Linked DNA regions of Drosophila melanogaster. The protein of the gene in region 4 interacts with the protein of the main gene of each other region in a pairwise test. Each region holds a gene or a part of one and is shown on either strand. Other genes may lie near its edges. The genes, in order: CG9106, azot, CG12811 and CG11590.

What was found.
Region 1: the proteins of CG11590 (region 4) and CG9106 interact in a two-hybrid assay, tested with the Drosophila melanogaster proteins (one large-scale study listed by BioGRID).
Region 2: the proteins of CG11590 (region 4) and azot interact in a two-hybrid assay, tested with the Drosophila melanogaster proteins (one large-scale study listed by BioGRID).
Region 3: the proteins of CG11590 (region 4) and CG12811 interact in a two-hybrid assay, tested with the Drosophila melanogaster proteins (one large-scale study listed by BioGRID).

The regions. Positions count from the first base shown.
Region 1 is NC_004354.4:15,267,960-15,276,314, reverse strand, and holds CG9106 (uncharacterized protein), read left to right. Parts: upstream 1-3,909; 5' UTR 3,910-4,328; intron 4,329-4,400; 5' UTR 4,401-4,484; coding exon 4,485-4,916; 3' UTR 4,917-5,279; downstream 5,280-8,355.
Region 2 is NT_033778.4:7,944,866-7,952,602, forward strand, and holds azot (ahuizotl), read left to right. Parts: upstream 1-4,973; 5' UTR 4,974-5,023; coding exon 5,024-5,470; 3' UTR 5,471-5,600; downstream 5,601-7,737. Other genes in the region: CG14764 (uncharacterized protein), read right to left, coding at 2,740-3,655; CG34431 (uncharacterized protein), read left to right, coding at 1-2,117; CG30378 (uncharacterized protein), read left to right, coding at 5,638-6,084.
Region 3 is NT_033777.3:10,046,090-10,054,651, reverse strand, and holds CG12811 (uncharacterized protein), read left to right. Parts: upstream 1-5,854; 5' UTR 5,855-6,115; coding exon 6,116-6,235; intron 6,236-6,708; coding exon 6,709-6,811; intron 6,812-6,882; coding exon 6,883-7,271; 3' UTR 7,272-7,400; downstream 7,401-8,562. Other genes in the region: Npc2e (Niemann-Pick type C-2e), read right to left, coding at 392-723, 782-889, 1,188-1,254; fancl, read left to right, coding at 1,846-1,956, 2,014-3,009, 3,067-3,105; ohgt (ohgata), read right to left, coding at 3,331-3,638, 3,710-4,212, 4,273-4,912, 4,978-5,262, 5,335-5,356; mtTFB2 (mitochondrial transcription factor B2), read right to left, coding at 7,450-7,876, 7,938-8,254, 8,316-8,455, 8,509-8,562.
Region 4 is NC_004354.4:14,196,466-14,204,290, forward strand, and holds CG11590 (uncharacterized protein), read left to right. Parts: upstream 1-3,712; 5' UTR 3,713-3,795; coding exon 3,796-4,392; 3' UTR 4,393-4,442; downstream 4,443-7,825. Other genes in the region: yl (yolkless), read left to right, coding at 1-582, 645-3,079, 3,157-3,339; Prp16 (pre-mRNA processing factor 16), read left to right, coding at 4,998-6,819, 6,976-7,169.

The DNA.
Region 1 (8,355 bases), 1.1 Mb from region 4:
CAGCAGAAGCAGCATCAGCGGCAGCCGCCCACTTTCACCCACTTTCTCTGCTCCAACCGATCCCCTTTCACCGTCGTGTTGACTTCTCGCTTATCATCGATGGCGCTGAGGTTCGTCCATCCAAACATGCATTCAAATGACCCGTCCAGTGCCACGCCCACACCCGATTTACGCCCCTTGTTTACGCTTAACTAACAAGCCAAGCTAAAAGTTGGCTGCAAGCCGGGACTTCCCCTGCGTTTTTCCTTTTTCTTTTCGTTTCTTTTTTTTTTGGTTTTTCCAACTTTTTTTCTATTCTATTCTTGCTCTCCATTTTTGCTCCTTTGCCATTCAAAAGAGTGCAGTTTGTTGTGCATAAATTGTTTATGTTGGCAAACCTGGGCCGGGACTCGAATTGTTTTTTGGATTTTCGATGCTGGTGCTCCACAGTAAGTTGGCCAACAAACGGGGCCAGAACAAAAGGTAAAATGGCAAGTGCACACATACACATACACGCTTCTGTCAGTCGTTGAAATTGTGTGTGTGTGTGTGTGTGTTTTGACCTCTGGCAAAACTGCATCCAAAAGTCAATCACACAGCCCAGTTTGCAGTTTATGCGTCTTTGGGCACACTCTATTTATTGCTACTGACCATTTTTAAGCATTTTTGTTTTTAATGAAACTAGGTTATGCCTTTTACTAAATAATACAAATACAAATACAAATCTTCTTATCTTCTTCTTATCTTGAAATCTTCTAAATATTTGTCGGATATTCTATTAAAATTATATTTTACCAATTGTATGGTCACACTATATCGCTCACCTTGGTGAATGCAATGCAACACATGTTCACTATGAAGACCAACCAACAAGCAAAATAGATCACAGATATGTAAACACTTACTCATAAAACGTAAAGTTACAAATATAATGTCAGATAAGTGCGTATTATAACATTTTCTATAGCTGCATATGACGATGCCACTGTTGGCAATCGAATGTAAATACTTTTGAGCAGATTGCCAGCTAAGAATGAATTCAACCAAGTTGACAAGTTAATGCTCGGCATTTTGACGGTTTTCACTACGGCATCACCTGCTTCGGGCAAAAGCCAACGCCAATACCGCCCATCAAGCCACGAATATCGTGAATATTTAAAGGGCAGGCTTCAATATTTCAGCATCGCTCAACCTTGACAGCATTATGAACTGAGTGCGACTGCAAGTGGGTAGCGAGTGGGATGGTAGGTGGCAGGTTGCAGGCTGGTGGCTGGTGGCATGTGGCACAGTTGGGTGGCAGGTGGCAATATGAAACGCTTGGATGGCGCAGAGCAGTGCAGCGTCGGATGCTGGAGTCAAACCAGGCGTGTAACCGAGGCAATGGAGGCGATACTCCTTCCACGTACTCAATTTGGCCCCTTGGGTGCGACTGCTGGTGCAACTGTCAAATCTTTCATGAAGATATAACCAAAGACCCTAGAATAACAAGATGCGTAACGCCATACGATTTTTTGGCACACGATTTTTTGGCCGTGGCTCTAGAGGTGGCTCCAGGCTCTCTCGAATTTTTGGTAGAGAGCGAGAGAGCGAAGAGCGCTACAGCGAACAGCTCTTTTCAACGCACAAAGTGATAGCAGACATCTGTATGTGTGCACACGTATTCACATGCATTGTAAATTTGAAAAAATATGCCCTTCACCTTAGAAGTTCTTTGGCTTTAAATCTATATTATTTTTGATCAATTGGCACCATGCGAAAAATTCTTGTTTTGCATTGCCTTAACGTTATTATTATTTGAAAATAGATTAGAAATACTCAAATCTATGTACATATTATCACAAAAATAAATTTCAAAAATGACTTTATATAAGAATATTTGTCATTAGAGTATTCATCTTGCGGCGTGTGAAAAATTAATAAGGTAATGATTGTTGAGTGCTTGTGTCCGCACTTCGTGCCTCAAGATATGAACAAAGCAAAGACACTAGAATAATTCTATTGTCTTTGATATTACTTTTGCAATTTCATTTAATTGCATATTTAATTATTTAGTATATTTATTAAATCATTTGACTTAATATGATGTAACATTAACATTAAAAGTGTTTCAAAAAAAATATTTAGCTTTTAAAAAATTGTCAGATGAGAGAAAAATTAGAATTAAACATAAATATAAATGTGTAAACGGTAGCTAATTCGAGCGGCAATTTTAACAAACAAATTTAAAAAGCTTTAAAATTATAATAGTCAGGGCGCGAATTTTAAAAAATTTTTTTATTTTATCATATTGCTAGGAAATTGGCAAAAACTACCCTAATATGTACCATGTAAATTCGTTTCTTCGATCAGAATTGATTTCGGCCCGAAAATCGTCTTCTAGCACAACACGCACACTTATACGCGTTCTCGTCTCTTGTTTTTACTCACACAAGCAAGCAAATTATATTTTTAGGTTTCTTACGCTCTCAGCGGGAGTGAGCGGAAAGAGAGTAATTTTGGCCGTCACCAAAAAAGTGGCTGCATAGTGCCAAACCAATGTATGGCCGTTACGCATCTTGTTATTCTAGTGTCTTTGATATAACTCACTGCCGGTCCAATGAGTCGTCGTCTCATTGTGAACCGGATCCGGATGTGGATACAGCTATGGCCACGTTGACAAAATTGGGCTGCAACGCATCTCAAAACGAATGGTAAGCTTACCCACCCATTGTTGGCCAAAAACAGCACGTAATGGTGTATTAATTAAACTTCGACCCTTCGCCCTTATCGCTTTTTGGCAATGCCATGACACAAGTGTGGAAAATTGCTGTGTTTCACATACATAAGTTCAATGAGTAAGCAAAATGCCTCTAAATACGAAAAGCATATATTGAATGACCAAAAAGCAGCTGAAAAGATTACCCATCGAATTCTGAAGACTTATTTTATTACATGGTTGCTGTGTAAAAGTTTTCGCTTTGTGTGGCTATGCAGTGGTAAAAATTTACTTCTTTTCGGATGTCAGCATACTATCTTGGTTTCATTTCGATTCTGAAGAGCTGGAGAGCAGAAGTCATTGCTCCAGGACGAGGTTAGCTATCAATCAGGGTTTAAGAATTAAAGTCGTCGTGGGGAAACCGGGGTAAAACTCGCTGCTCGACAATCATTTACCGAACAGCTTTTGGCTTTCACTTTTCACACATACCGCAATTAATTTCCGTTTGATTGTTTGTCTCTGTCCGGACTCCACATTCAAAGCCCCACCCGGAATCCTATTTGCTTTCCACACGGCGAATGCGATTTAATTGCTTTGGGACCCCTGCTCCCGCGACTTAAACTCAGCTCTGGTGCTTTTACTTTGCTTTTCCTCTCGCCCACACCCGCACTTTTCCCACACTTTTCCCACACTTTTCCCATACTTTTCCTGCACTTTTCCCGCATTGCACCTGCAATCGTAAATAAAGAGCTAAGCGTGAACATGAAGGTGAGGAATTGCAGCTGCAAATCGGAAGAGGAGGAGGCTGCCGTGTCAACAACTTTGCCGTGAAAGTTTTATTTGTTCAGTTCATTTGGTGCTGCTGGCAGAAGCAAAACATTATATGGCACATTCATAAACACCCGTGTTGCCGGGCGATGTCAAAAAATTGTGAATGGTATGGGGATTTTCTGAGGAAAACACTAAAAAAAAAAATCCTTGAAAACTTTGTTTGCCTTTTTGCACTTAAATAGTACACTTACTGCACTTACTTTAAAGTCTAACTTAGAATGTGCAGTGTCATGAATTAATGAAATAGCCATAAGAATTATTAATTTACCAAAATCTTGAATATTCGCGATATTTGTGTCTCTCATTTCATCGTCGAAACAAAATGTACCAGCTGGCTTTGAAAAGAATGCCAGATTAATGTCATGGCTCATTTCATAAGTTAAAATCATCTAGGTAGTCAACACACACAATCGACACAAAATACACACACACCGTTTAAACAAAAGTGAAAAAAAATAGAGGAAAATCGAAAAAAAAAAGAATCAAACAGCGAAACAAAAATCATAACTTGGTATTGTATCTAGCTAATTAGAGAGTTGCACTAGAATCGCGTGCGACTTGAACGTCGAGAAGTGTATAACAGATCCCTAAGCAGCACATCACTGCACCAGAGTCTCATTGGATCGCACCGAGCAAAGTACAAAATTCGTAGGTTCAAAGTTCAAAGTTTACGGTTTCCGAAGGACTAACCGAGAATCCAACCACGGACCATCCCGTCCAGAAGGCCAAAGGTAGCAACCAGCAACGAAGCTTCAGTATTGAGCCACTTTGATAACTGCTTCCAATCCGATTTCTTTTCCACTTTTGATAGTTTTATATTCAGGTGAGTTAATTATCACTTATAATATAAGTATTGTTGTTAAATATATATAAGAAATACTTTTCGGCTTACTAGATCCAAATAATTATAAATACACTCAGTTAATTGGCTGCATTCGATATTTGCCTCATAGATATCCCGAACCGCTGCCCTTCCAGGATGGTCATCAATCTGAATCCGTCCACCTCTTCGAACGCCAATGCCAGCGGTAGCAGCGTGGGTGGCGGCAGCGGTGGCGGCAGCGACGGTGGCAACGGCGATGGAATGAGCAGCGCTGGGAGCCAGAGCGGCAACATCATTGGCGGAAACGGAAGCGGAAGCGGAAACGGTAACGGTAACGGTGATGGTAACGGTAGTGGCAACACCGCCGGAAACGTCAGTAGCGGCACCCCCAGCAACCTGATGGGCATCATCAGCCATGAGATGTTCGATGGTATCGTCTATCTGCATGTGGTATGTGCCGGTGAGTCAAGCTCCAAGTGGGTCACTCTGGAGGAGGCGATGGCCTACTGTCCCAGCGGCGTTGTTGCCTACACCAAACTGCAGCTGGCCGAGATTTATGGCATACCGATGGACGTTCTGTTCGACTGATGGTGATGCATAAACCAGATTCTTCGTTGAAGCGATTGCAGTGTACCGCACATGGACGATGGTTTTGATGGATTCTTGATTAGCTCCGTTTGGCTTGTACGGTTTATAAGCTGGACCATGGCAACTGTCATTTGAACTTTGGCACTGTTGGCAAAATCTAGGAATTCAGTATTCGCCAAATACGTGGCATTGGCAATATAACGTCGATTGTTTTTTCTTGCTACATTCCCTGCTCTAAATTTTAAGTTCCTGGCGTTAAGTGATTTTTCCGAAGGCAGCAATTACTAGAAATAGTATACGAATCTGCAAGGTTATTCCGTAATTAATTGCAAAAAATAAAAAAAAATAATAATAAAATAAAGGAAATTTATAAAGAAATCTCTATGGACAGTATGGGTGCCATTTACCTTGGTCACTGGCCGCTTCACGTGCCCCTGTGGCATTTGTCAGTCGACTCGGAATGCGGGGGTGGAAGATGAATGGACTGAGCGGAAGTTTAAGGAGCCTTTGCCACGCAGACACCACACGGCGTATGCGTAATGCGGCCAGCCCACAGAATTTGGGCATTTCAATTGCAAATTAGCCAAAAGCCAACGTCAACGGTCACCACGCCCACACCGACAGCCGCCCCCTTTTGAAGTGCGTCTCGACTTTTCTTTACCATTATTTTTCCCTCTTCTGCGAGTGTGTGTGTGTGCGTGGCAATTTGAATGATTTATGTTGATTGCGTATAATTGCATGTTGTGTCCTTGTCCGCCCCTTTGTGCCCAGGTGCGTTTGCCGGCCACGTGACAAATTCAAATCCCCGTCACCGCTTTACACTCCCTTTTCGCTCGCTTGGTCGGTCGGTCGGTTGGTTGGTTGGTTGGTTGGTTGGTCTTGTCTCGGCTTTTCCATTTCCCATTTCCGCCCCACCACTTTGCCGCTATTCCTAACCTCAGACATTCTGCGGCGCATTGTTGTTGCCGCTTTTATGACGCTCCATCTGTCAGCGGCTTGTTGGTTGTTCAGTTGGCTGGCTGGCTGGCTGGTGACACCGTGCCAGGACACGGCAAGGAGCTGGGGCATGGATAAACAGGACCCATATCCAGGCTGGCTGCTTATCTAATTACGCGCCCAAAAGCACGCAACACAAAAATGCCAAGCAAGTCGAGCGAGGCAACGACGACGACCAACTTGTCTTTTGCGGCACGACGCTTCATTTTTCTAATGCCATTCGCTGGCGGCGGGAATCGGTGGAAAAGCGGAAAATGCGGTGGGTCAGGATCTGTGTGTGGAGCATGGCTGACTTTTGCCAAATGGCAGGCGCTCGCGCATTTATTTCGCTTGTAAACGAGCGCAATTTGCAATTTGAGCGCGTCCGCCTCGCGTGTACCTTCCCTACTTTCTCCCTTGCTTTTATAGCAAAAAAAAAACCAACAATAAAAAAAAAATACAGCCTAAGAGAGGAGTGTACTGTCCGCCCCCTCAGCCATTTGCAATTGAATATTTATTTGCATTGCCATGGGCTTCGTGTCGGGTGTGGCGCAACTAAAAAATTATTACGCATACGCAGCGTTGCCAGCGGGGGAGAAACTATAGCGAATCAAATCGTATGAAAGGTATCTACCTAAGTGTGACCAAAGTGTTTTGGTGCTTTCAAAAATAATTTCGAAGGTTCGCAGGGAATCGTTTTGATTTGAATTAGCAGGAGCCTTAAATGTGCTACAACTACCTTTTTACATCAACTAATTACATTCGTGTAATTATTTTCTCCGTTAAGGCAAACAGTTAAGTGACAACTTTTCACAGCCTGGCCACACTAATTTTGCAAAACTATTGTACAATTGATTCCTTCAATTGCCTGTATGTTGTACATTATCCAAAGTTGTAATTAAATGTGAATGCTTTTTCCAGCTATTCGTTTGCTGATCACACTTTGCAACGAATGCAACGTAATTGTTTCTCCCGAAACTTCCTGTGCCCTGGTCACACCAATTACGTGTCATCCGGCAGCTGGAAATTAGAGGCCAGTTGGAAGTGATGCAGCACCACCACTAAGCCACCCACCCGATGGCCGATGCAAAAGGCAAGCTAATAAAATGTACTTTATGCCCGAACGTGCGTTGACTGTAAAATCGGACTGGCAGCAAAAAGGGAGAAAGTGGAGAAAGGGGAGAAAGGGAAGAAAGGGCCATATCTCTTGTTTCGCTCGCATCACGCGGCTGCCTAATTATAATTTTGCATTCTGCTGCCGCATGCAAAATTCATGGACGCGAAAAGTGCGGGGCACGGCTGTCATTCCAATGCTGTCCACCGAATGTAATGTTAGCATAAAAGTTGACAACATCCGGGGTCAGCCTGAGCCGGGGTCAAAGGTTGATCAAGGCGAACACATCAACGTTAAGCGTTTTATGGCCAAAATGTGCGTTCCATTTGAGCAGAGACCACTCCCAGGGTTTTCCCTCGTTTCGTTTCGTTCTTTTTTTTTTTTTTTGTTTTTGCGCTGATTTGCGCAACTTTCAGTGCCACATCCACTTCCGTTGGCTGGCTGCCGTTTCCGTTTTCTGCAAATGTTGCAAATCTTCGCGAAAAACTTGTCGTAAAAATATTTCCATCAGCCAAAATAAAGCAGAAGCAATGTGGATGCGGATGCGGATGAAGATGAAGCTGCAAGGACCAAAAACGAGCAGAAGGCGGCAGGATTTCCACGGGCTTGGTGGGGCATGGGGGTAGATAAGCAGAGTATAGCTCGCCAGTTTTCGCAATGAAGCAATAAAACTGGCAATAAACAAATGGCACAAACGGCAACGGATGTGCAAAAAGGGAAGCAGAGAGCAAAAAGAGCCGGCAAAAACACACGAAATGAATGGCCAACGAAAAGGGTAGCCAAACTGCAGTTACCCTAAAAGTATAGATGGATTGAAATTGATATATTTTATTATGCTTAAGTTTGCAACAAATAATTTCTTTACTTAATTATTGCCCATTAGGTAATTAAATAAATTAAGGCATAGATAGCATTTACAAAGCAAGCAAAGTAAATTTAGGGACATGAACTTTCAAATTTCAAGATTCATAAGTTATGAATACAGTGGATCAGATAAGTTTCACTGTACGCGGCGGGGTAAAATTCTGGCCAAATTACCGAACAGCAAGGGCATAAAATGAAGATCCAGCTGCGATGGCGCAAAATGCCACCGGAAGACGACGTCGCGGCGCCAAAAGCAGCGCATTTCCAGTGGCGGCTGTGGGGGGGTAACATTCACGGGAGGGGAGTGGCGAATTTATGAAGCATAAGCTGCATAAACATTAAGATTACATAAACGTCGACGGGAATCCCTTTGGCAGGACAACGAAACTCGGGAGCGATGAAGACGAAGATGAAGATGAAGAGACCCCAGAGGAAGCACCGAAAAAGGGGGTTAACGTGGCATTAGCGGGGCGCCAAAGGCCACTA
Region 2 (7,737 bases), on a different chromosome or scaffold from region 4:
AAAATTCAAAATCAAAAGAAATTGTCCCTAGAGCGAGCGGAAAACAATTAATTGACCCAATTAAAATCGAAAAATACAAGATTAAACCCCCAATGAGTCGTCCTGTACCTACAGCAACGCATTTAAGCTCAAGAGCACCTGTCGTGGGCCTTCTTCATGGACTAATTAGCAGGTTTGTCTTTACCCAAAAGCGAACCAAAAAACTGAAGAAAAGAAGTCTGCTTAATAATCTCCAGCCAAAAAAAACGTGTAAAAGGAGCATCGTTAACAAATCTAAACTCTTCAAATTTCCCTTAAAAGATCAAAAACGGAGGGAAAATAAAGTAGATAATAAACTGAAAGAAGTTGTTTCAGTTATGCAGGAGCTGGGCGAGTTTAAGGGTATAAAGACTCCCAAAAAGATGACGGAGAAAATGCATCGAACTATAAAGAGCTTATCCCGAAGCGCCCTTCACTTCCCAGCCGCGCATGAAAATCTCTCAAAGTACAAAGTTTCAACAAGAGAAATACAACGCGATACAACATACCCTACTGAACCATTGAAGACACTAGTAAAGAGAATCAAAAGCACCGAATTTAAGAATGAAAATCTATCAAAGTACAAAGTTTCAACAAGAGAAATACAACGCAATACAAAATACCCCGCTGAACCATCGAAGACAATAGCAAATAGAATCAAAAGCACAGAATTTAAGAAAGGAAGTCAACTTAATCTCAAGCCTAAGAAAACGTATAGGAGGAGCATCGTTAACAAATCTAAACTCTCCAAATTATCATTACAACATCAAAAACGAAAGAAAAATGAAGTGGAAAATAAACTGAAAGAAGTTGTTTCAGTTATGCAGGAGCTGGACGAGTTTAAAGGCATAAAGACTCCCAAAAGGATGATGGAGAAAATGAACCGAACGATTTTAAAGAAGTTTTCCGGAAGCGCCCTTAATTTCGAAACCTCTTTTGGAGATCTTTCAAAGTACACGGTTCCAGCTAGAGAAGCGCAACACGATTCAACATATCCTGCTGAATCATCGAAGACACCAGCAAAGAGAATCAGAACCAACGAATTTAAGATGACCAAATCATCTGGGAACAAAGGATTTGATTTTAAGCTAGGCAAAGGACTTAAAATCCACGACTATGGCTTCAAGAATCTCAAGAAGGGAGTTTCAAATCAAGATACTATCCATGATTCCAAATCACACACACCAAGGGAGGCAGAAATTATTTCTAACCGCAAAGCCTTCCGTACCATGGACACGAATCTGAGGAATTTCACTAGACAAACTGCTACTAACATCTTTCTTAACGTTGACAGGCTGAGTGACAAAAAAGTTGGCTCAAAGTTAGAACTTTTGGAGCAACTAAATCGATTAGAGACCTTAAAACACGGAAATAGCGACAATTTTGAGTACTTTGAGGAATCTGTTTCGCCGTTGGGCTATGAGATTTCTGAAAAATTAAATAGAACATTTGCGTCGATCAAAAGAATAAATCAGTCCAGGGCGAATGCAGAACTGTTTATTTTAGACGACAGAGATTCACCCATGGACTTTTTGACTTACGATGACTATCAAGGAAAGTATGTTCCCTTGGCCGAAGAGAAACCCCAACCACCCAATCGTCGAAGAAAGAAACGATCTAAACGACTTTTCGTTCCCAAAACTGACGCAGGTACACAGACTGAATGCGAGTGTGAAATTTGCTGTTCGTTGCAAAAGTATAGGACTGAAAAAGTATCACCTTTGCTAATGGAAATGACAATGAAAAGAAATTTTTTGAATCAACGACAATACTATATGGAAAATCTCAAGAAAAGAAAGTTAAAAGCACCTGTTTCAGAAAAAAGGGAATTAATCTCCATAACTAAGCCCAATCAAAGCGATTGCGAAGCGAAACACAGAAGTCACAAAGATGTAAATTTGTATTCTCGTTACCCCAAAATCATTTCCGAAACCCTTGAGAACCTTACATCCCCCCTTCGATTTGAAAACTACACACGAGAATTATTAAAGGCTTACAAGGCACTCGATGTGACAAAAATGATATCACGCTGTTATCAAACACTTTTTGAAGCCGAGCAACGAACGAATGGAATATTTCCAAATACCTTTGATCCTTAACCGAAAATTTGTCGACTATAAAGTATCTGAATCTAGTCAATCAATGAAGATACAGAAATGAGCATTTGACTGCATATAACATGCGCGAGAAAATGAATGAAATTGGAAAAGAAGCATTTTCTTTCTTTGGATTCATCAATTAAAAATGAGCTCTGTGTTTAATTCGCCAGGAGTGCCAGGAAGTGAACACAGAGTTCATTTCAGATGAATTCAAGGAAATGAAAGCTTATTTCTATTAAAAATTCACCTATGCTTGGTAAGCATTATATGTAATAACCAGCCAAAAAGTGAGTATTGTTGACTACTTAGTTTGGGAAATGCCGGTCGAATAAAAATGAATTGTTCGTTAAGAAAGGCAATGTCACTTTTGCCATCAATCCCAATTCAGGTGGTAATTACATAAATTTCCCCGATGTGAGTGCCATCAACGGAATGCCGTGCAAATGACAGTTATTAGTACACGAGCCTAGCCCCGAAGGAGAGCTTGGGGGTTGGAGGTTTGAACGTACGTTTGATTGATTTATATTGGCGTCAGGCAGTGACTGAGGAACATTTCTAATGACAGTTTTACATATCCCTATGACGCCACCACCACCACCACCACCCATCCCACCCGACTCACCGATCGGATCGATGCACTCGAGGGTGAGGCAGCACTTCAGCCAGGGAAGCATGATCTTCTCGGCCACCAAGGAGCTGTCCGAGAAGAAGACAGCATCCAGGTCGACCATCCGAAGAAAGTTAAACTCCTCAGCTTTCGACTCAAAGTAGTCGAACATTTTTGGATGCGTCAGAGAGGATACCGCCGTCGCTGTGTTCCATCCGAGCACTCCAGCGGACTTGACTGCAGATTTTCCCACTCCTGGATTCATAACGATGCTCTGCAGACTTCGCAGCTGGGCGGAACCTCCGCGCACGCGCATGCTGTTTTCCAAGAAGAGAACCGATCGGGCACGCATAAGACCGTCCTTAATTACAATGGGCCGGTAGGCGTGCGTCCGCTGATCGGCGACGAAGGAGGGAAACTCCGACAGATCATAGGTGATCACCGAGCATCGGCTGTTATTACAGTAGGCGCCCAAATCCCGTAGTTGCTCCTCGGAAACGCCCAAATCGTAGATTAGCAGGTACTCGCTGGGAAGCTTGGCGGCAATATTCTGGGCCAGCAGGATGGCCGATGCGGCCTGCCCCTCCAGCACATAGCTGACGATTGTGAAGTTGCTCTTTGTACCGTTGTACGGCGTCGTGATCCGCTTCCGCTGCCCCTTTTGATCTCCTGCCTGACTACCGAAGGTAACAGCATCCTGTGGACGCCGCAGACCTCGCAGTTCGCTGAGCTCCAGTTCCGCTTTTGTAGCCGGCGCTGAAAAATCTGTCTTTGGCAGTTGCTGACCTGGTGAACCGATGTCCACCACATTTTGCTGATCCAGCTGCTGCTGTTGGCCTGTAGCTTCATTTGACGAGGTGAAGCCCAGAAGAAGCAAATACTTTGGGTCTATTTCGAGCTTTTTGCGTTCCAAGCCAACGCGGAGGTTTTCCTGCAAGAAAAAAAATTAAATTTGCAATAAATGAATATTTTTGGTTTATCCAAGAAATAAACAAGAGATTTATTATTTAAGTTTTGACATACGGTTCCCGAACCCCACTCTTAGAAAATTATTTATGTCGGGCCAGGCGGCGTTAATGGTCAAAAAATATGGCCAGAATTTGCCTCGTCATAGGAACAATTCCGAAACACACATGTGAGATATGTTTCCATTATGGCCCTCTAGCACACTTCCTCTGTTTCGCCGAAACTAGCCCAAACAAATACCCAAACACAACCAAAAATCAAATGAGCCGCACAATGGAACCCTCTCGTGCCGATGTCAAATTCTTGTCTATTATTTGCTTAGACTGTGGCCAGAGTAAAGCGTGCCGCATTCTCTGCCCACCCCCCCGGGCACTACCACTCCTCCGGCAGCCAAAAACCGGTGTCAGGTGTGTCCCACTGCGGTCAGGTGAAAGGGCCGAGGGGGAGAAGCACTGGAATTAACCTGCGGCAAAAAGGCAGCCGCCAAAGTTGCAGGCTAGGCGCCAAACCCAAATCGCATGACAACCTTTCTGTGCCGATAGCAACCACTACACTTGTATGGCAGTACACTCAAAACACTCTTGTTAAGTATGAATAGTATGGTATGCTGATTCATAGATAGATTATTTAATGTATAGCAAAACTTACGAATAAGTTTAAGCAATCAAGAACAAAATCTTACATTTACATTTTTATACCAGTTACTCGTGAAGCTAAAGGAGTTATTCATCCAGATCACTAGTCGATCTGGATAAGCCCGTCTGTCCTTCCGTCTGCCTGTCCGTCCGTATGAACGTCGAGATCTCGGGAACTATAAAAGTTCACTAATGTTGTTTTCATTCTACACAAATATTTTGGCGTTGCAAACTTCTGTTGAGTTCTTGTATTTCGAATAGCGAAAAGATGAGCCTTTTTTTTCTTGAGTGTGCGTTGGAACAATGACGGTGATTGTACACATTCTTACTCCTTAACTTTCCTCGAACGGCACTCTCCTTCTGTTTTGTTAACGAACAACGAAAGATACTAGCTGACGTCCGTTGCTGGGTCGCAATTGAAACCGATCAGCTGCAAGGCCTCCTCGCCCAAGGACATTCGAATCAATCAACTCTGTCCGTGCGGCACTGCGCTTATATAACGAGCATATTGATTTTGTGCCATTCGGTGTTGTGCACTGTGCAGCGCAGTGAAGCCACCGGGGGATGTTCATTTTACCATTTTTCACATTTCACTGAGTTCAATGTCAGGACCTTGTTTCATCCAAACATCAGTTGACACCTACATATAAACAGAGCAATATACAACTCTTCCGAGAAACTATAATATACCAGTTAAGATGGAGGATATTTCGCATGAGGAGCGAGTCCTGATCCTTGACACTTTCCGTATTTTGGACAAGGACAACGAGGGCGCCATAACATCTAAAGAGATGGCGGTGGTGATTCGCGCCCTGGGTCGCCAGCCCAACGACGCCGAGGTTCAGTCCATGATCAATGAGGTGGATTCGGAGGGAAACGGATCCATCGTGGCTCCGGAGTTCTGCAATGTGATTCTGCGCAAGATGCGCGACACCAACCATGAGGACGAGCTGCGCGAAGCTTTCCGAATTTTCGACAAGGATAACAATGGCTACATTACCACCACCGAGCTAAAAAATGTGTTCACCGCGCTGGGCGTAAAGCTCAGCGACGACGAGTTGGAAGAAATGATACGCGAGTACGACTTGGATCAGGACAATCACTTGAATTACGAGGAGTTCGTCAACATGATGACAATGCGATAGCCTCCATGTGAGTACTCGTATAGAAGGCTGGCTTGATTTCTATCCAACAAAAAGTCGGCGTTCTGTCTGTGTTCAGTTTAAATTCTTTATGTTCACACTGACAAAAGCACATGAAACATTAGTCCACTACAAAAAAAAAAAAAAAAAAGAAAATCACTTTGGAAACAATGAGCGGCAGTTTGACCGAGGCCCAGATTGAAGAAATTCGAGAAGCATTCAGTTTGTATGACAAGGAACGGTCCGGATGGGTTTCCGTCCAACAGCTCGGCGGAGTAATGCGGGCCCTTGGAGAGAGTCTCACCGAGGCGGAGATCTACGACCTGGCCAACGAAAGTAACGCCGACTTCGGTGGGCAGGTGCAGTTCAAGGACTTTCTATACGTGATGAGCAAACGGCTGGAGGAGCAGAACAGTCTGGTGTGCCTAAAGCAGGCCTTCAAAATCTTCGATCGCAGCGAAGTGAACAGCTTTACAATTAACGAGATCAGAATGGTGATGACCAACCTGGGCGAGAAGATGTCCGAAGAGGACTTGCGCGAGTTGTTCCAGGACATTGATCAGGACAAAGATGGAAAGATCTCCTTCAACGAATTTGTTACCGCCATGCGAAGCTAGGAATTCCAAATTGAAGGCACAAATTAACCACGAACCCCTTTCGAAAGAGCCCAACCCAGTCGCGTTTTCCCTACGCCTAGGCGGCACCACTTGAAATTCCCAACCAAATTCCTTTGGCTTACTCAACGCAGCGCCAGAAAGTCGGCTGTTAAACCTTGTCCGAAGAAGTCCACTTGTGTGTGTCCATGTGGCACGGCGCGTGACTCCGAAACGGTCGCATGTGCCTAATGGCCGCTGGGGAGTGCCAGGATATTCGAAAGGGTGATGGCGATGGGCCAGAGCAATCATAAAATCGAGCCACGCTGATTACGATGCCAATTTAAATATTTGACCATGTGCTGGACTGGACTGGACTCGCTGGTTTCCTTTTTGTCTGACCAAGTTTACAAGTGGCATGATTTTGGGTTCAAGTCTTATCGCACCTTGCTCTTTTTAAATTACCTTGTTATCTATTGGCACCCTTAATACGCATACAACATACATTGTCCATGACTCATTCGGCAATTATAAAAGCCCACCTTGGCAATAAAATATTGTCAAGTGACTAGTGACTAATAATTTGTAAGGGGGAAAGGTTTATAAATTTGAATGCGCCTTCGTGCATGGATTTCAGAACATATATAAAAGAAAATCATGTATAGAGAAAGAATAATTGATGCCGAATTCGGAGAAATATTTCGGGGCTGGGATGCATTACTCGGAAAGATTTCACGATTTCGTCATTGCTAATCCTATTTGTAAAAGGTAAATACCCACAATAACCCCAAAAATACTTAATTATGCTTAATTGAAAAATTAAAACATTAGCTTCTTTATTTTACATCCACTTACAGTTAACCCACGGACTTATTAATGTTAATCAAAAGTCGAGAGGTCATTCCGACGTTCATATGTTTCTAGCGCTTCATATGGATAATTTAAATAGGTTATCGTTCAGCTACAGTTTAATTGCATTGCTCTGCATGTGAGTGGCGGTGCGACATTGAACCGATGGCTATAGGCAATCAATAGCGCCTGTTTACTCCTCACACAGGTAAATATGGAATACGAGTAATCGCTGTGCAAGCGCATTGATAAAGCCCGCGCTCCTCGCTGTAATTTAAGTCATTGATTAGTGTCGTCCATTAAGAAAGTTGACACAAATTGTCACAAATGGGGCAGCATTATAATTTGAAATTAGAAAAAAAAAAAAGAAAACATTCAGCTTATTTCCCAGCAATACTCCATAATTGGCTAATTGACTAAATAAATTTCTGCTCGACTTATATATGAGTTTCGTATACCCACAGTTTTGATTCGAATTGTTGTATTCAATCCCAGCGCACCTGTTTGATTCCCACGAAGCGAACCCTCGGAATAAGATCCAAAAGGGTGGGATTTAGCTATACACGTACTTCCGCATGGAAAGTTTATACTACTTTTAGGTAGTCTCCGGAGTTGTTATTTATACATAGGCACGCTTTAAAAATATATAGTTCATAATAGAAAACACCCTAGCTGTGCTATGAATATGTCTTAGTCACAGAAATGATTGTGCACTCACTGGAAGTGTTCGACATGCATCAAGTGCTGGCAGTCGAACAGTCAATCACTTTAATTGTAAATCTATATGCTAGCCTATATTAGTATGATGTGGAAATTTATTCACACACA
Region 3 (8,562 bases), on a different chromosome or scaffold from region 4:
CCAGCAAGACGTTTATCGCCTTATCACACAGGAGAGCCCAACTTTTGACCATATGGTCAATGCGATCTACGGCGGCCAATAAATGATTATCACGACGATTTTATTAGCCAATTGTGCCACTGAATCAGTGGAAATAAATTAATAGACTTTCGGTGCAAAAAGGAACGTCACAAATGACTGTATATAAATAAATACGCTTGAATATCTAATCGGCGGTGCCCAGAAATGTGTTAATCTTCAGCCTGATTGTGCACTGAGTACACTGGAATTCGTGACGTAGCCAAGGTAAACAAATGGTCTTATCTGTGCAAGAGTTTTGTGGTTTATTATTTGGCAAACAAGTGGAAATATTCAGTCGGCCGAAACGGCTGGAGTTGCGTACATCGTCGGCTTAAAGGGGGTTCGTCCAGTCCAACAGATATCCGTCCATCTGTGCTGCAGTGGCTCCCTTCCGGATTTTACAGCTCACGACGAAGCAGGTGATCGGTTCGTTCTGCGCATCGTTCAACGTGACAGTGACATCCGCCGTTATTTCCGGGAACGAAGGCTCCACATAGAAGTTGAACTGATACGTGACATCCTCGTCCTTGTCGATGGGACAGATGGCACCGTACAGGAGATTGCGGCACACATCGGACACTTCGTCGGGTAGGGCATATGGCAGATTCATGCCCAAAACCTTTGCCGTTGTGGTGGCCGTAATGCTCTTGATATTGTTGTTATCTGCAAGACATCGATGATGAGATTCAAGTGGACACGGATATAGATGGCCGAAACTTACTGCCCAGGAAGTGCACCTCCATGACTGCTATGGTTCCTTTGTACACAACGCACGGCGGTTCCTCGCAATCCTTAATATTCACATCCAGTGGAAACGGCTTATTTTTGCCTGAAAGCGGAAATATGTTTTCGAAGAATCAAAAGGTGAGCTCAAAAGAAGGCTATGTTTTTTTTTCTAAGAGATTAGCTGTTTGTTGATAAGCCATATCAACCTGGCCAACAGATACACGTTAGGACTTTAAATTTCTCTCAGAACGTATTTTTGGCAATAGTTTTCGAGACAAAGTCTGCGAAGTGAATCATCGTCATAGAAATCTGTTAGAATCATGAATCCAATCTAACAAACTGGTCGATTTAAAATGATTTGATGTTTTTCCAACAAAATAAAAGAGTTTTTAGCTACTTACACTGCTGGACATTGGTGGCATTGACTGTGGCCAGAATTAGAGCCAAAGTTACAACGATTCGCAGCATTTTTCTGGATGGAATCTTTTTTAATCTTACTTCAGAAGAATACAATATACATTGAGTACGCGCGCACGCAGATGACAATCGTGAGTGGAATCGATGGGGCTGGTGGAGAACCTTAAATAGCCCCGTGTTCGAACGATGACCAACGCCTGTAGAGAGCAGTTTATCAAAATCGGTGGCTATTGCCATTGATACGGGGCCGCCACGCAGGTGTTACAAAAGAAAACCACTGTGGCCTGCAGGTGTTGCGCTCTGACGAAGAGCAAACAATGCCGATTCGAATCAGTAAATAACGTAAATTTGGCTGATAAGTAGGGAGAGGCTGAACTACAATGTTGCCGGCTATACCTAGTAAACAAAACAGCCAGAGGGTGAATATGTAAGCAAGGCGGAATATTGGCTCGAAGGGTTAATAAACATATAATTTAAGGTTTGATCGAGCAATCAAATTTAAAAAAGCGGCCGATTAATTTCCTATCGATCGTGATTGAAGACTTTGTGTCATCGAAGACTGCACATCTCTAACTATGGCCGTTCAAAACATAAAATGTAAACAAAAGTCATTCAAGCACAATCTGACCAAAATCAAATATAATGGAAAGTAACGAAGATGTAGAGCGCCTTCTGTGTCAAAAGTATCCTGGTCTGGCAGCGGAGCTTCAGCCAAGTGGAGCGTGCATCATCAGAGGAGTTTTGGGCAGTGAGGTAAGTTATCCGTATTTCAATTTTTCCCGCCAAACTAATAATGATTGTATAATTAAGGATACATGGCGCCGCCTTAAACTCTATCTGCCACACCACCCAGCTCTTCATGGTTTCCAGCTCTACGTCCAGGAAAGCTTGGAGTACAAGCTGTACACATCGGCTAATCTCAAGTTACAGGACGATTGGCTGCTGGAGGATTTTCTGGACCATTTGCCAAAGATTCTTCCTGCCCAAAAAGCCCCAACAGTGCCAAAGGAACTATGTCGGGAGGGGAACATATATTACGATATCCTGGCCTTGTACAAGTCAAACGAGTACTGCCTGCAAGTGGACGAGGCCTGTTCCATGATTCGTTTCAGCGAATTCACCGACTTCGAGCAGCATTATCTGGAGCTTAAGATCCCGTCTCTTCTCTTGCTTGATCACAGTTTGCCCGACTGCGTATCGCTGGGTGAAATGCTGACCAAGAGTGCTGGAAACCTAGAGGAGGCCCTAAACCTCTTTCGCAAGCTTCTCGAGGATCTGCGTCCCTTCTACGACAACTTCATGGATATCGACGAGCTTTGTCATGTGCTGCAACCATCGCCCATCAGCAGCAAACACAAAACACGACTGTTCCCTCTCAAGGATCGCGTCTACTTGAAGCTGACCATCGCGGATCCCTTTGCCTGCATTGCATCCATGTCGCTAAAGATCATTGGGCCCACGGAAGAGGTGGCCCGCCTGCGCCACGTTCTCAGCGATGGTCTAAGTAACTGGGACTCCGAAATGAACATTCACAAGAACCTACTCCGAATGTTCGACTTGTGCTACTTTCCCATGCCAGACTGGTCGGATGGACCCAAGCTGGATGAAGAGGACAACGAAGAGCTGCGCTGTAACATTTGCTTTGCCTATCGCCTGGATGGTGGCGAGGTGCCCCTCGTCTCCTGCGACAATGCCAAATGTGTGCTAAAGTGCCATGCCGTCTGTTTGGAGGAGTGGTTTAAGACTCTGATGGATGGCAAGACCTTTCTGGAGGTCTCCTTCGGCCAGTGTCCCTTCTGCAAGGCGGTAATATTGCCTATCATTTCATCTATTGCCAATGTACAACTGCTTTATCTTTTTCAGAAGCTGTCCACCTCATTTGCGGCACTTTTAAATGATTGAAATTTGTAACCATAATATTAAAAGCAAATATTTAAGAGTAACTTATTATTCAAATAATCGTAAATATCAATTAGGTTTACATCCACGCCATCAAACGCCGTGTGTTTTTGCTAAAAGTAGTTGTGAAACGAATTAAACAGGTCCCACCTGATGGACCGCATCATTCTCCTGACGACGCCAGCAGCAGAGTTGACATCTGAAAAATCGCTTCACAACGCGCCAGCCTCATTCCATATCGCTTGAGATCATCCGCATCATATTCCGCACCACATAGGTGGTTCCATTGAAGGGCGAGTACTCGCTGGCTTTTCCAATCCGCACGCTGGAGCCGGCCAAACCGAAAAACACCTTGGGTGTTAGGTTGGGATGCACGGCCTTGAACTCCCACCCGACGTGCTGGGCGCAGAACTTGCACAGAATAATGTGCCACTGATAGCCGGGGAACCAGCTAAACTTTGTGGACGGCTCGCCGCTGTAGCCGATGGCATGGGATATCACCCGGTACACGGTGTTTGTCTCGTGGATGTAGCCCTCTGTAAAGTAGTTAGTTTCAGTGAATTCATTGCTTATAGAAGACGGACATTGGACTTCTCCTTATGCTTACCTGGATTGCAATACTGTGTCTGCACACCGTGTTTGGACATGGCAAAGAGATCCGAGCAGAGGGCCAAGCTGCTATTGCAATATCGGCAAAAGAAGAGTGTCTCGTCCTTGAACGTGCTTTTGATCAATTGGAGGCGAGTGTTAACCGAGTCGGTGAGGAAGGTAAGCCGCATCATCTTCTCGGTCAGGTGAAGGTTACGCACCAACCAGAAGGACAACTGAATGGGGCATTTTGGCATTGTGTCTATCTTTTGGGACTCCAGCCTCTGGCGTGCTCGCTCCACAATTGAAGAAAACGAATACTCTTGGCAGGCATCAGATGGCCAGGTGGTAGTGCTTAGCTGGAACCTGCGATACTTGTCGCGCATCGAGGGTATATCCCGAAATCTGGCCATCGAGCCCATGTCAACAGTTTGGAGCGGTTCGGGCAGGAAATACTCGGGCAATATTTTGACTTTGCTGAAGCATTTGCTAGTTGGATTGCGAGCAATGTACTGCGGTGACCTGAAAAGATATGGGATTAATCATGGAGAATTTAAGGTGATCCGTATAGTCAAGACTCACCCTTTTATATCATCGCAGTTGATGACAATGCGCTGCAGTGCTCGTGATTTGTAGAACACCAATCCTCGGCCGCTTTCGCCCCTTTCGTAGATCTGACACGTGACCCCATACAACTTGTGTGGGTTGTCCTCCGGCGGCTGCAAACGCGGGAAGCTTACACCGAAGATCAGACCGTCCAGACCGGGCATATCCTCGTCAAACATTCGGCCGTCGATCATGAAGGGAAGCACCTCGCCGGGAAAGAGGATGTGCTGGTGCAAGAAGATGAGCATGTGATGGACGCTGCCCACCTCCAAGTAGTCCACTCCGGGCACGCGACTCAAATGATTACCGAAGTATGAATGCTCCGCTGGCAGATTGGTGTCAAAGCCAATGTCGATTGGTGGTCGAGGTGGCTGCTGTGGCGGTGGATCAACGGGCTGCTCGGCAGCCTCCTGGCTCGTTTCCTCGCTTGTGCGACTGCGCCGTCGCTCCTGGCTAAAGACCATGCTACGCACTCGCTGTAGGAAGTTGTCCCCACTGAGCAGTGCAGCGATTCCACCATCCCGATTGCGGGCTTGCGAGACCATCATGTCTACGGCGGAGCGCAGTCGGTTCTGCGGAATCATCCAATGGGGCAGGCTCTCCAGATCGGAATCATCTGGAAAGGATGGAAAACGCGGGTTAAGTAGGAATGTGCAGCACAACGATTGTAAGCCAACTAACCTTCACTTCCTGGACTTTCCAGAGACATGTCACTGCTGGGATGACTGCCCTCGCTTGCTGTGTCGTCCTGCAAAACGTTCTCTACCATGGCCTCAAGTGCATCCCCTCCCTCACCATCGGTGGCCAGTGGATCTTGGAAGGCATCTTCTGCCGGCGGTGACGGCTCGTCTGGCATTGCATTGTTCCAAGCCTGTTCTATCACGTCTACCTGCCGATCCTGGAGCCCCTGTGACTGTTGGTCCTCCAATTGCACATCTTCATCCCGTGCTTGCACAGAATTGATTTCTGCGCAGTTTCATATGATGAACATATGTTATTGGGAACATTTGGCGAGTGCTATGATGCTGCCACACCCACCTGAGTTCTCCTCTTCGTCCATTTGAGCCGTACAGTGTCTTTTGTTGCTTCGTTTTGCAGGTGAATTTTATATATATTTATTTGGTTTTTATTTTGACAAAGGAAAATAAGAGATGGGAGCTTTTCGATAGTTAGCGATTGGCTAACCAGTGCTAACCAATAATGGCAACATTTTGAAAATGTTCGGTAGTTGGGCGCCAAAATAGACTCGTAATGCTTATCGTTCTATATAACAAATTATTCGATTTTCAATTTTAATTTCTGATACACTTAGTAATTTGGTAGTCCACAACTCATAGGAAGACAATATAACTAAGCATTACTTAACAAGGAGTTCTTAATCCAATATTTCAAAAGCAAACGTAAGTGTGCAGATATTTTTTTTAAGTTTTTCCCTTTTCTCTTGGCTTAAATTTATATGATCAGAAAGTTATTTTTTTCAACTCATCGATAGAAACAGCTGAGCATTGATTGAGTATTGAGCATCACTAGCAAGAGCGGATGTAATCGGGAGAGCAATATCAATTGGAACTGGCCCTTATTGGACTATGTTTTAATTTCACTTTGTTCTGCTTTTCTGGTTATTCGCACTAAACTTCCAATTGGAATATTGGAATATTTCCGAGAAAACGTAAAACAATAACATAACTGGACCCAACTAAGATCGTTATCGTTATCGAAGATCTTCGTTTCCCATTGATTAAGATTAAGTCAAGATTGGCCAGCCTCATACTTGTTTGAATTGCCGTGAGTATCACATGAACAAGTGATTATACGGACAATGATCAATCCCCAACTTTTGCTGATCGCCGCGCTTATTGCGTTTATTGGGAAAGTGGCACACGCTCAAATCGCCTTTGTTGAGGATCAAGACATTGATAAGAAGAAGGCCAACCTTGCGGTAAGCTGCAGCCAGACACAATCCACATTTGTGATAAGAAACGCCAAAATGGAAGAGAAAACCCAGCCGGAACTGGGCAACATCTTTCGCCGAATACCCTTCCCAATCAGAAGTGAAAGTCGTTGGAGTCCAATTAGGAATTTTGTGTAGTGACCAATGTTCAAAAACATTTCATGATTGCTTTGATTTTAAAACTAGCTTAAGGTTCTAGTTAAATAATTATAATAACAGACTTTTAATTGTATGGATACTGTTGAACGTGATTGAAAAATTTTTTTTTTTGTTAAAAATAAGAAATACATTTATTTTATCACTGTGGTGACTTTGAGAGTTTCAAACCTTTAAACTTCTAAAGTGTGTGTTTGAAGTGAATTTCAAAATACGGGGACTGTTTTGGTAGTGTATGCAAGCCCCATTGGCAATAATCAATCGAATTCCTGCCTCACACCCCTCCGCTTTCTCCTCATCAACAGGGTCGCAAGCCACTGTATTCGCCAGCCCGATGCCCCAAGCACCAGCTTCTTTATCCGGGGGACCAGCAGAAGCAGAACGACTGGGTTTGCGACTGCGCGCCAGGTGAGCGGTCATAATGGAGCTACCATGGCGATGACATAATAATCTCCGTATGGGTACTTCCCCTTCGATAGCCACACTGTATTACCCGGAGACCGATGGCTGCTATCCGGCCTACCGACAGGGACCCTGTGAGGCTGGACAGATTCTGGTGCTCTACAAGGAGGAGATCATCCCGAAGTGCGTACGAAATCCATGTAACAGGGACGGACACTTTATGATTCGCGACACATGCTATGAGTTCGGAAACACCAAGAAGGAAGAAAACCCGTGTCCTTACCAGGAGGCTTCCTTTGTACTTGGCGTGAATCCCACCAACTTGATGGTGGACTGTGTGAAGCTGTCCGTTCAACTGGAGACGCGTATTTCGGACACGGAGCAGGCTCCGCCGGAATACTACGTTGATTTGGCCGAGAAATGCGCACGCGGCAGTCGCCTAATGGCTCAGGGAAAGTGTCCTTAAAGGATTTTAACATTATGTGCTTAAATGTATTGTGTTCTGTTTGGTAATGTGTGGAGGCCAGTGAAGAATAGCGAATTTGTTCCATGTTTAAGACAGATATAATATGATTACATACCATTTCTCAAAATGAAGGCAATTCTTTATTTTTCTTGCACAAGCAAAACGCTATTATGTACAACTAAGAACTGGCTTTCCTGCGCCTCTTGACGGGAGTGGTGGCGGGTACAGGGCTTTCTTCTTCGATAATTTCATCTGCTTCGGCATCATCCTCTTCTGGCAACGTGACGCCATCCTCTAGGTTTGGTTCGTCATTGGCAGTCTCCAGCTTGAGCAGCGCATTTTCCAGCGAGGCGAGGAAAGAGCTCTCGCCGTACTCCGGCCACTGACGAAACTGACTAAATAGCGTCAGAATCTGACTGGGCAGGAGATCTCCGAACTGTGTGTAGATGTTGATGCCGGGATAGTAGTTTCTGGTGCTCATTGTAGTACTCTGGCACGAGTACTGTGGTAGTTTCTTGGGCAATTCATCTGGATAGATGGGTGTTACGGACTCGGAGGACTTCGGATTAATGATAAGCCGAGGTCCACAGCCGGGAACCCACTTTCTACACAAATAATAATTGAATTTATAAAAATAACCCCAGATGATTTGATTGTGTTACCTACTCTAAATTGGGTATTATTCTGTTTCGTCGGCTTACATAGTTCTGCTTAATGAAGAACCAGAGAGCGGGTAGATCCTGCGACTGGCACAGCTCATGAAGATTGCGGCGCGGAGTGAATTTCACCAAGTACAAGTACTCGGGATTGATGGACTGCACCTTACCCAACTTGCTACTCTTGGTGGGGCTATAGGCCATCTGCTGAGGTAGAAAATCCTCGCGCGGCACCTTGGCTATGAATTTGTGCTCAAACAGAATTTGAAACAGTACGCTGGTCGATCGGTAAATGAGGTAGCCAATCTCGTTGTTGCAGGTGAGATGCTAACGGAGGGAAATGAGTGATATAAGCGTGATATATTTCAGGGATAATAAGCTTATTTACTATGTATATGGGTGGCGGCATGGCGAGGATCATCTCACAGCGTCCAAGGTTGAAAAGGCTGGTCTGAAAAATGAGGGAGTTGATCAAGTGCTTGAAGAATGGATAGGAGCCCACGGCGCCGAAGACTAGCATGTTGATATCTATAGGAAAAAAATAAGTTCGAGGATATATTGAATAGCCAATATGGGCTTACCATCTGTAAACGCTTTCTGGGGCACATCACTCAGGAGATCCGCCACCCTGGAAC
Region 4 (7,825 bases):
TGGCCATGGTGCATCACGATCTGTTTTGGAATGAATTGGGTACGCCAAGGATTTACTGGACGCACAAGAGCAATATGGGGCCGCGAAAGGTGATCGATATAATGGAGAAGGACGATCCGGCCGCCATTATGCCGTACGTGCCTGTGGCCACGCCCAATGGAATTCCGCTGGCCGCCAGCTCACCCGTCGGCCAGGAATCGCATCCCTGCCAGCAGCAGAATGGCGGCTGTTCGCACATCTGTGTGGGCGAGGGACCCTACCACTCGATCTGTCTATGTCCGGCCGGATTCGTTTACCGGGATGCGGGTAACCGCACCTGCGTGGAGGCTCTGGACTGTGAGTTCCGTTGCCACAGTGGCGAGTGCCTCACAATGAATCACCGTTGCAACGGACGACGCGATTGCGTGGACAATTCGGATGAGATGAACTGCGACGAGGAGCATCGGCGCAAGCCAAAGGTTCTGTGCTCGCCCAACCAATTCGCCTGCCACAGCGGGGAGCAGTGCGTCGACAAGGAGCGGCGATGCGACAATCGCAAGGATTGCCACGACCATTCGGATGAGCAGCACTGCGAGAAGTTCGGTAAGCGAAACGAGCTGCACTTGGTGGATAATTTGAATTTGAATACTCTCTCTACTCCACAGACAAGAGCAAGAAGTGCCATGTCCATCAGCACGGGTGCGACAATGGAAAGTGCGTGGACTCGAGCCTGGTGTGCGATGGAACCAATGATTGCGGCGATAATTCCGACGAATTGCTGTGCGAGGCGACATCGCGATGCGAACCGGGAATGTTCCAGTGCGGCAGCGGATCCTGCATAGCGGGCAGCTGGGAGTGCGACGGGCGGATCGATTGTAGCGACGGATCCGACGAGCACGACAAGTGTGTCCATCGCAGCTGTCCGCCGGACATGCAGCGCTGTCTGTTGGGTCAGTGTCTGGACCGGAGTCTGGTGTGCGATGGCCACAACGACTGTGGCGATAAGTCCGACGAACTGAATTGCGGCACGGACTCATCCACGATGAACATATCCTGCGCGGAAGATCAATACCAATGCACGAGCAATCTCAAGATCTGTCTGCCGTCTACGGTTCGCTGCAATGGCACCACCGAGTGTCCGCGCGGCGAGGATGAGGCCGATTGCGGTGATGTGTGCAGCATATATGAGTTCAAGTGCCGCTCCGGTCGAGAGTGCATCCGGCGGGAGTTCCGCTGCGATGGCCAGAAGGACTGCGGCGACGGCAGTGACGAGTTGAGCTGCGAACTGGAAAAGGGCCATCACAATCAGAGCCAAATTCAGCCGTGGAGCACCTCGAGCCGATCCTGTCGGCCACATCTCTTCGATTGTCAAGACGGCGAGTGCGTGGACTTGTCGCGGGTATGCAACAATTTCCCGGACTGTACCAACGGCCACGACGAGGGACCCAAGTGCGCCACCGCCTGCCGTTCGGCATCGGGTCGCCAGGTGTGCCAGCACAAGTGCCGCGCCACACCAGCCGGCGCCGTGTGCTCCTGCTTCGATGGCTATCGCCTGGACGCGGATCAGAAGAGCTGTTTAGACATTGACGAGTGCCAGGAGCAGCAGCCATGCGCTCAGCTATGCGAGAATACCCTCGGCGGCTATCAGTGCCAGTGCCATGCGGACTTTATGCTGCGCCAGGATCGCGTTAGCTGCAAGAGCCTGCAGTCTGGCGCCACTCTGCTCTTCAGCAGCTTCAACGAAGTGCGAAACCTAAGCGAACAGCCCGTTATGCTCAATGTGGCCTGGTCGGCGAATGATTCGAGGATCACCGGTTTCGATCTGGCCATGCACCGGCAAATGGGTTACTTTTCCGCCGAGGACGAGGGCATCGTCTATCAGATCGATCTGCAAACGAAGGTGATTGTGCGGGCTCTGGGTCTGCCCGCACCGACGAAACTCTCCGTGGATTGGGTCACCGGAAATGTTTATGTGCTCAGTGGAGCGCAGGAGATCCAAGCGTGCAGTTTCGTGGGACGCATGTGCGGCCGCATTGTGCACGTGAAGAGTCCCAGGCACGTTAAGCATTTGGCTGTGGATGGCTATCACGCCCGGATCTTCTACATAGTCATACGCACCGAGGGCTATGGCCAGACGAGCTCGGAGATTCACATGGCTCGACTGGACGGCAGTCGCAGGGATATGCTGCTGCAGCGAAGCGAAAGCTTCATGACCGCCCTGACCACCGATCCGCATCAGCAGCTATTGTACTTTGTGGACCAGCATATGCGCACGCTGGAGAGGATTAGCTATAGGCTTAAAACGGGTCCCATGCGTCGACCGGAGATAATGCTGCAAAAGTCCAACGCTCTGATGCATCCATCTGGGCTGAGTGTGTACGAAAATAATGCGTTCATCGTGAACCTGGGCTCCGTGGAGGCGGTGCAGTGCGCACTGTACGGATCCCGCATCTGTCACAAGATCAGCATTAACGTGCTGAACGCCCAGGACATTGTGGTGGCGGGCAGGTCGCGTCAGCCGCAGAAGGCGTCGCATCCATGCGCCCATGCCCACTGCCATGGACTGTGCCTGCAGGCGGACTACGGTTACGAATGCATGTGTGGCAATCGTCTGGTGGCCGAAGGCGAACGGTGTCCCCATGGCTCTGGCAATGAGGTGGCCGTGTTGGGTGCGGTCAACAGCCTGGAATTGGAACATGAACACGAGCAGAACGGTCACTTTCACTGGCTGATGGCACTGTTCGTCCTAGCCGCCGGATCACTGATCGCCGGACTCGGGTACATGTACTATCAGTACCGGCAGCGCGGCCACACGGATCTCAACATTAACATGCATTTCCAGAATCCGCTGGCGACGCTCGGCGGCACCAAAGCGTTCCTGGAGCACGAACGCGCCGAGGCGGGAGTCGGCTTCACCACGGAAACGGGAACGGTGTCCAGCCGCGGCAGCAACGACACATTCACCACCACCAGCGCCACGTCCTCGTTCGCGGCTCAGCAGTTTAGTGTGCCGAATGCGCTCCAGCGACTGCTCCGTCCACGACAGTCGGCGTCCGGCGATCCGATGGCTCAGGAATTGCTTCTCGAGAGCCCCAGCAGAGTGAGTAGCGATGGGGGTCAGATGGCCGTGGAAGATATGTGACGATTGCCCCCTTACTACTATCGTCTGCTCAACAGGAAAGCAAACTACATGCGCTGGACGGAGGTGGGGCCGGAGGCGATGGCGATGGCGGACGCGGAGTTGGGCGGCAGGTGCCGGACATCCTGGTGGCTGACATGGACGACGATGCCGCCAAATCAGCCGGACAGTTCGGGGGAAATTACGCAGGCAATGATGCGAATGCACGATTTGTGTCGTAAATGAGTGGCAGTGGTTATTTATTTATTTTATTATTGCTGCTGTTTGCTGTTTATTATATCTATGTATTTATTGTAGCGTTAAAATGATATTGTATTTAAATGTTAATCGGTGATTGGAGTTTATATAGCTAGCAAAATATTAAAAACTAAATCGAACACATGCGTTTTTTTTTTAAATGGCATCTTGTGGCCCGAAAAAGTTTTTTTTTTTGTTTATTTTTTATAGTTTTGAAATCTATTAAAAAACGAACCGTTACTTTTCTCTTCAAGAAAAAAAATACCGTTAACATAGATACCTAAAATACTACATTTTATGTTAATCCCACTTGTCTCGTGCGCAGGAGCCCTAATGTTAAACATCGCATTTGACTGGAATGTCTGGCAACGCCGCCGACTGTGGCACTTGGTTTTTTGTTTCATTATTGTTTTGCTTTTCACCGTGCAAAGTGCATCTGAATGCAATATCGCATCTCCGCCAGTTGCTTGCCCCTTCGCTGGTCGCTGGTGCGCAACCTGTTGATCGCTGCCAGCGTCACCACCGCCATCGCCAACCCGCCGGCATTCGCCACAGCGAGCAGTCACAAAAGTTGTTGCTTCTCTTCCAGTGCCGCCAACGCCAGTTCCAGTACCAATTCGAATTCGAATTCCAATTCCAGTGAATGCTCCAAAATGGGCGACCAGCAACAATCAGCGGCGACAGGCAATGCCTATCAGTCGGGCAGCAGCTCGGTGGCATTTGTGACCACTCCGGATCGGGAGTCAGCCAGAAAGCTGGGCCGCAGCATCGTTGAGTTGAAATTGGCCGCATGCGTGAACATTGTGTCCCAAGTCGAGTCTATCTACAAGTGGGAAGGCGAGATTAGCGAGGACTCCGAATATCTGTTGATGATCAAGACGCGCACCAGCCGCATCGACGATCTGAGCAAGTTCATCCGCGAGAATCATCCCTACAGCGTCGCCGAGGTCATCGCGCTGCCCATCCAGAATGGCAATCCGCCGTATCTCGATTGGATCGCGCAGACGGTTCCCACAAAGGCCGAGAGCAAAGACTAAATTCAATTTGCAGTCCATTTAATGGAAATAAAACGGTTATCTGGAAAATTAATTTATTTTTTTAAAAATTAACAAGGGCTTTATTTTCTAGCATTGCCACTCTTTGTTTAGCTGTAAACTTTTAATGTAATTTAAATGTTTTGAGAAAATGGAAATGGACATTTGATCACATAATCATAATTATTGTATCTTGCAATATATAAAGCTTAGTTATTCCATTTCAAATACAACTTACCATCTTATTATGCGGTTACAAGTTCTACCAATAAATTAAACAAAACAAAATGCAACAAAGAAAATAATAAGTGGAAAAACGAAATAGATATAATTTTACAGTTGCGCACATGCACATAAATATTTCAAGCTAAATAATATTTAAAAGTAAGTATTTAAAAACTAATTTTCTGCATTAGAATAAAATGTAAATTCGTAACGACAATTAACCCAGAGTGGCATTACTGCTGTCCAGCATTTTTTTTTTTAGCGGGATGGCAGCCCCGCCGATCAGCTGTGCCCAAGAACGCCAACGCGAATGAATCGTTTTTGCGACAACGAGCAAGACTCGCGAAATAGCCAAGGAGCAACAGACTAACCAGCACAACAGGATGTCCGACGACGACGAGTCGGGTGTCCATCGGCTGGAGGGCACCGCTGGCCAGGAGACGCGCGGCGGCCTGGTCATCCGGAAGCCCAAGGATGCCGGCGCTGGCGGTGGCGGTGGATTCAAGGTGCCGCAGGGATCGATGTTGGGCCTGGACAAGCTGGCGGCCAAGCGACGGGCCGAAAAGGAGCGATCCGAGCGACTGATCTCCTTCAAGGACAGCGAATTCGATGACACCGGCGGCGGGAGCTCCACGCCGCAGGCCAACGCCTCTGGCGCTTCCAGTGAGTTTGCCTTCAAGAAACCGGACACCAAGAGCTTCGAAAAGCTGCGCGGCCAGCTGCGCGAGCACAAAGACGATACACCCTCGCACACCGGCGGCGTTTCCGAGAAGGCACGCGAGCGTCTGCGCGAGCACATCCAGCGGGACAGAAAACGTGGCCCAGTCAGCAGCACAGCGGCAGAGGGCAGGGACAGGGATCGCGACTGGGATCGTGACCGACGCAGGGACCGGGACAGAGATCGGGATCGTGACCGCGACCGGCGCCAACACAGAGAAAGGGAGCGCGATCGGCACCGCAGCTGGGATCGGGATCGTGGTCGTGATCGTGATCGTGATCGCTCCATGTCCGAGCGCAGTGTCCATACGCCGCGTGAGCCGGGAACACCAGGCGGCAGCAGCGGTGGCATATCCAATAGCTCGTGGGACGACGAGGACGGCGAGTTTGGACAGCGCAAGTCGGACTGGGATATGCCAACGCCCAGACGCCATGGCAACAAGTCGGGTGATTGGTCAGTGCGGAGCGGCGGCAGTCGGCGTAATCACGGACGCCAGGATGACACTGTCCGGCCAACGCCAGCGCATCGCTACAATCAGTGGGCACACGGTCGCAAGCGAAGCGGCGCAACGCCATGGGGCGAGGATCCCGAATCGCTGGATCTGTGGGAGGAGGAGCAGCGTCGCCTCGACCGCGAGTGGTACAACATTGACGAGGGCTACGACGATGAGAACAATCCATTCGGTGGCCCCAACTCCGAGTACTTTCGCAAGCGCGAAGAGCAGCTGGAGCAGAAGAGAACAAAGAGAATCAGCGCTCAGCAGCGCCAGAATAACCGTGACAACGAGTTGTGGGAGCGCAATCGTATGCTCACCTCGGGCGTGGTCACATTGATCAGCGTCAACGACGATTTCGATGAGGAGGCGCTGGAGCGAGTGCATCTCCTGGTGCATCACATAATACCGCCATTTCTCGACGGCCGCATCGTGTTCACCAAGCAACCGGAGCCGGTGGTGCCCGTCAAGGATCCCACCTCGGATATGGCACTGCTGGCGCGCAAGGGCAGCGCCCTGGTGCGCAACTATCGCGAGCAAAAGGAGCGGCGCAAGGCGCAAAAGAAGCACTGGGAGCTGAGCGGCACCAAGCTGGGCAACATTATGGGTGTACAGCGGCCGCAGGACGAGGACGATATGCGTTTCGACAAGGAGAAGGACAAGGCCGACTATCGCAAGGATCAGAAGTTCGCCGACCATATGCGCGACCAGGATACGGGTGGCAAGAGCGATTTCTCGCGCAAAAAGACCATCTCGGAGCAGCGCCGCTTCCTGCCCGTTTTCGCATCGCGTCAAGAGTTGCTCAACGTTATTCGCGAGAACTCGGTGATCATTATCGTGGGCGAGACGGGCAGCGGCAAGACGACACAGCTAACCCAGTATCTTCACGAGGATGGCTACAGCAAGCGTGGCATGATCGGTTGCACGCAGCCGCGTCGTGTGGCCGCCATGTCGGTGGCCAAGCGAGTCTCCGACGAGATGGACACCCAGCTGGGTAGGCAATTTACTCTAGAAGTGTTTAGGAAGCGCTCTCTTTCTTTCTCAATGTTTCTCAATCTGTGTGAAAGAGTGATTCCTAAACAGTCAACCATGAAATTCCAATCTTTGCTTAAGCTTAAGCCTAATCCCACGCCATCCTTTCTGTTTGCAGGCGAGGACGTGGGCTATGCCATCCGTTTCGAGGACTGCACGTCGGAGCGCACGGTCATCAAGTACATGACGGATGGTATTCTGCTCCGCGAGAGTCTGCGTGATCCGGAACTAGACAGCTACTCCGCCATCATTATGGACGAGGCCCACGAGCGATCCCTTTCGACGGACGTGCTCTTTGGATTGCTGCGCGAGGTGAGTGGCTGGCCACCAAGTGCTCCATACTTTCGAATAACTTACACATGGGCTCTTCTCGCTTCAACTTCAAAAAACAAAAACAAAAAATTGCTAATATAAAACCAAGTGCATATCCTTTTGTTTTTTAACCATTTCAAATCGCTTATTAGGCTCATTCAACTTGACTTTCGCTTATCTTAACCCAAAATGGAAAGTTATAACTTTTATCTATACGATAATGGTGTTTACTATCTTTAGTGAATGGAACACATTGAGTTTAATATATTTTACCTTTAATTCGACTGTTGCCTCAACAAGACAATAATGCAAAATCGTTTAATTTTGTTGTTGTATCCGTTGGTAAACATTTAATAATAATATCAATATAAAGCATTTTACAAACGTTTCATATTCAAATTTTCTCACATTGTCGAAATGTATATACGAACTACCATAAATACTTTATAAATGGCTTAAAAAGACAAAACTTAAACAAAATAATTAATAATGTATATATATGTATATATAGCTTACAAACTAGCGATGATTTGCTTCATTTTTTTTTTTTTTTTTTTTATTTTTGTGTAAATCGTTTTTGTTTTTGTTTTGGGATGCGAGCTCCTCTTTGATTTCGATTTTTACGTATTTGTAGAATCCGTGGAGCGTCCATTTCA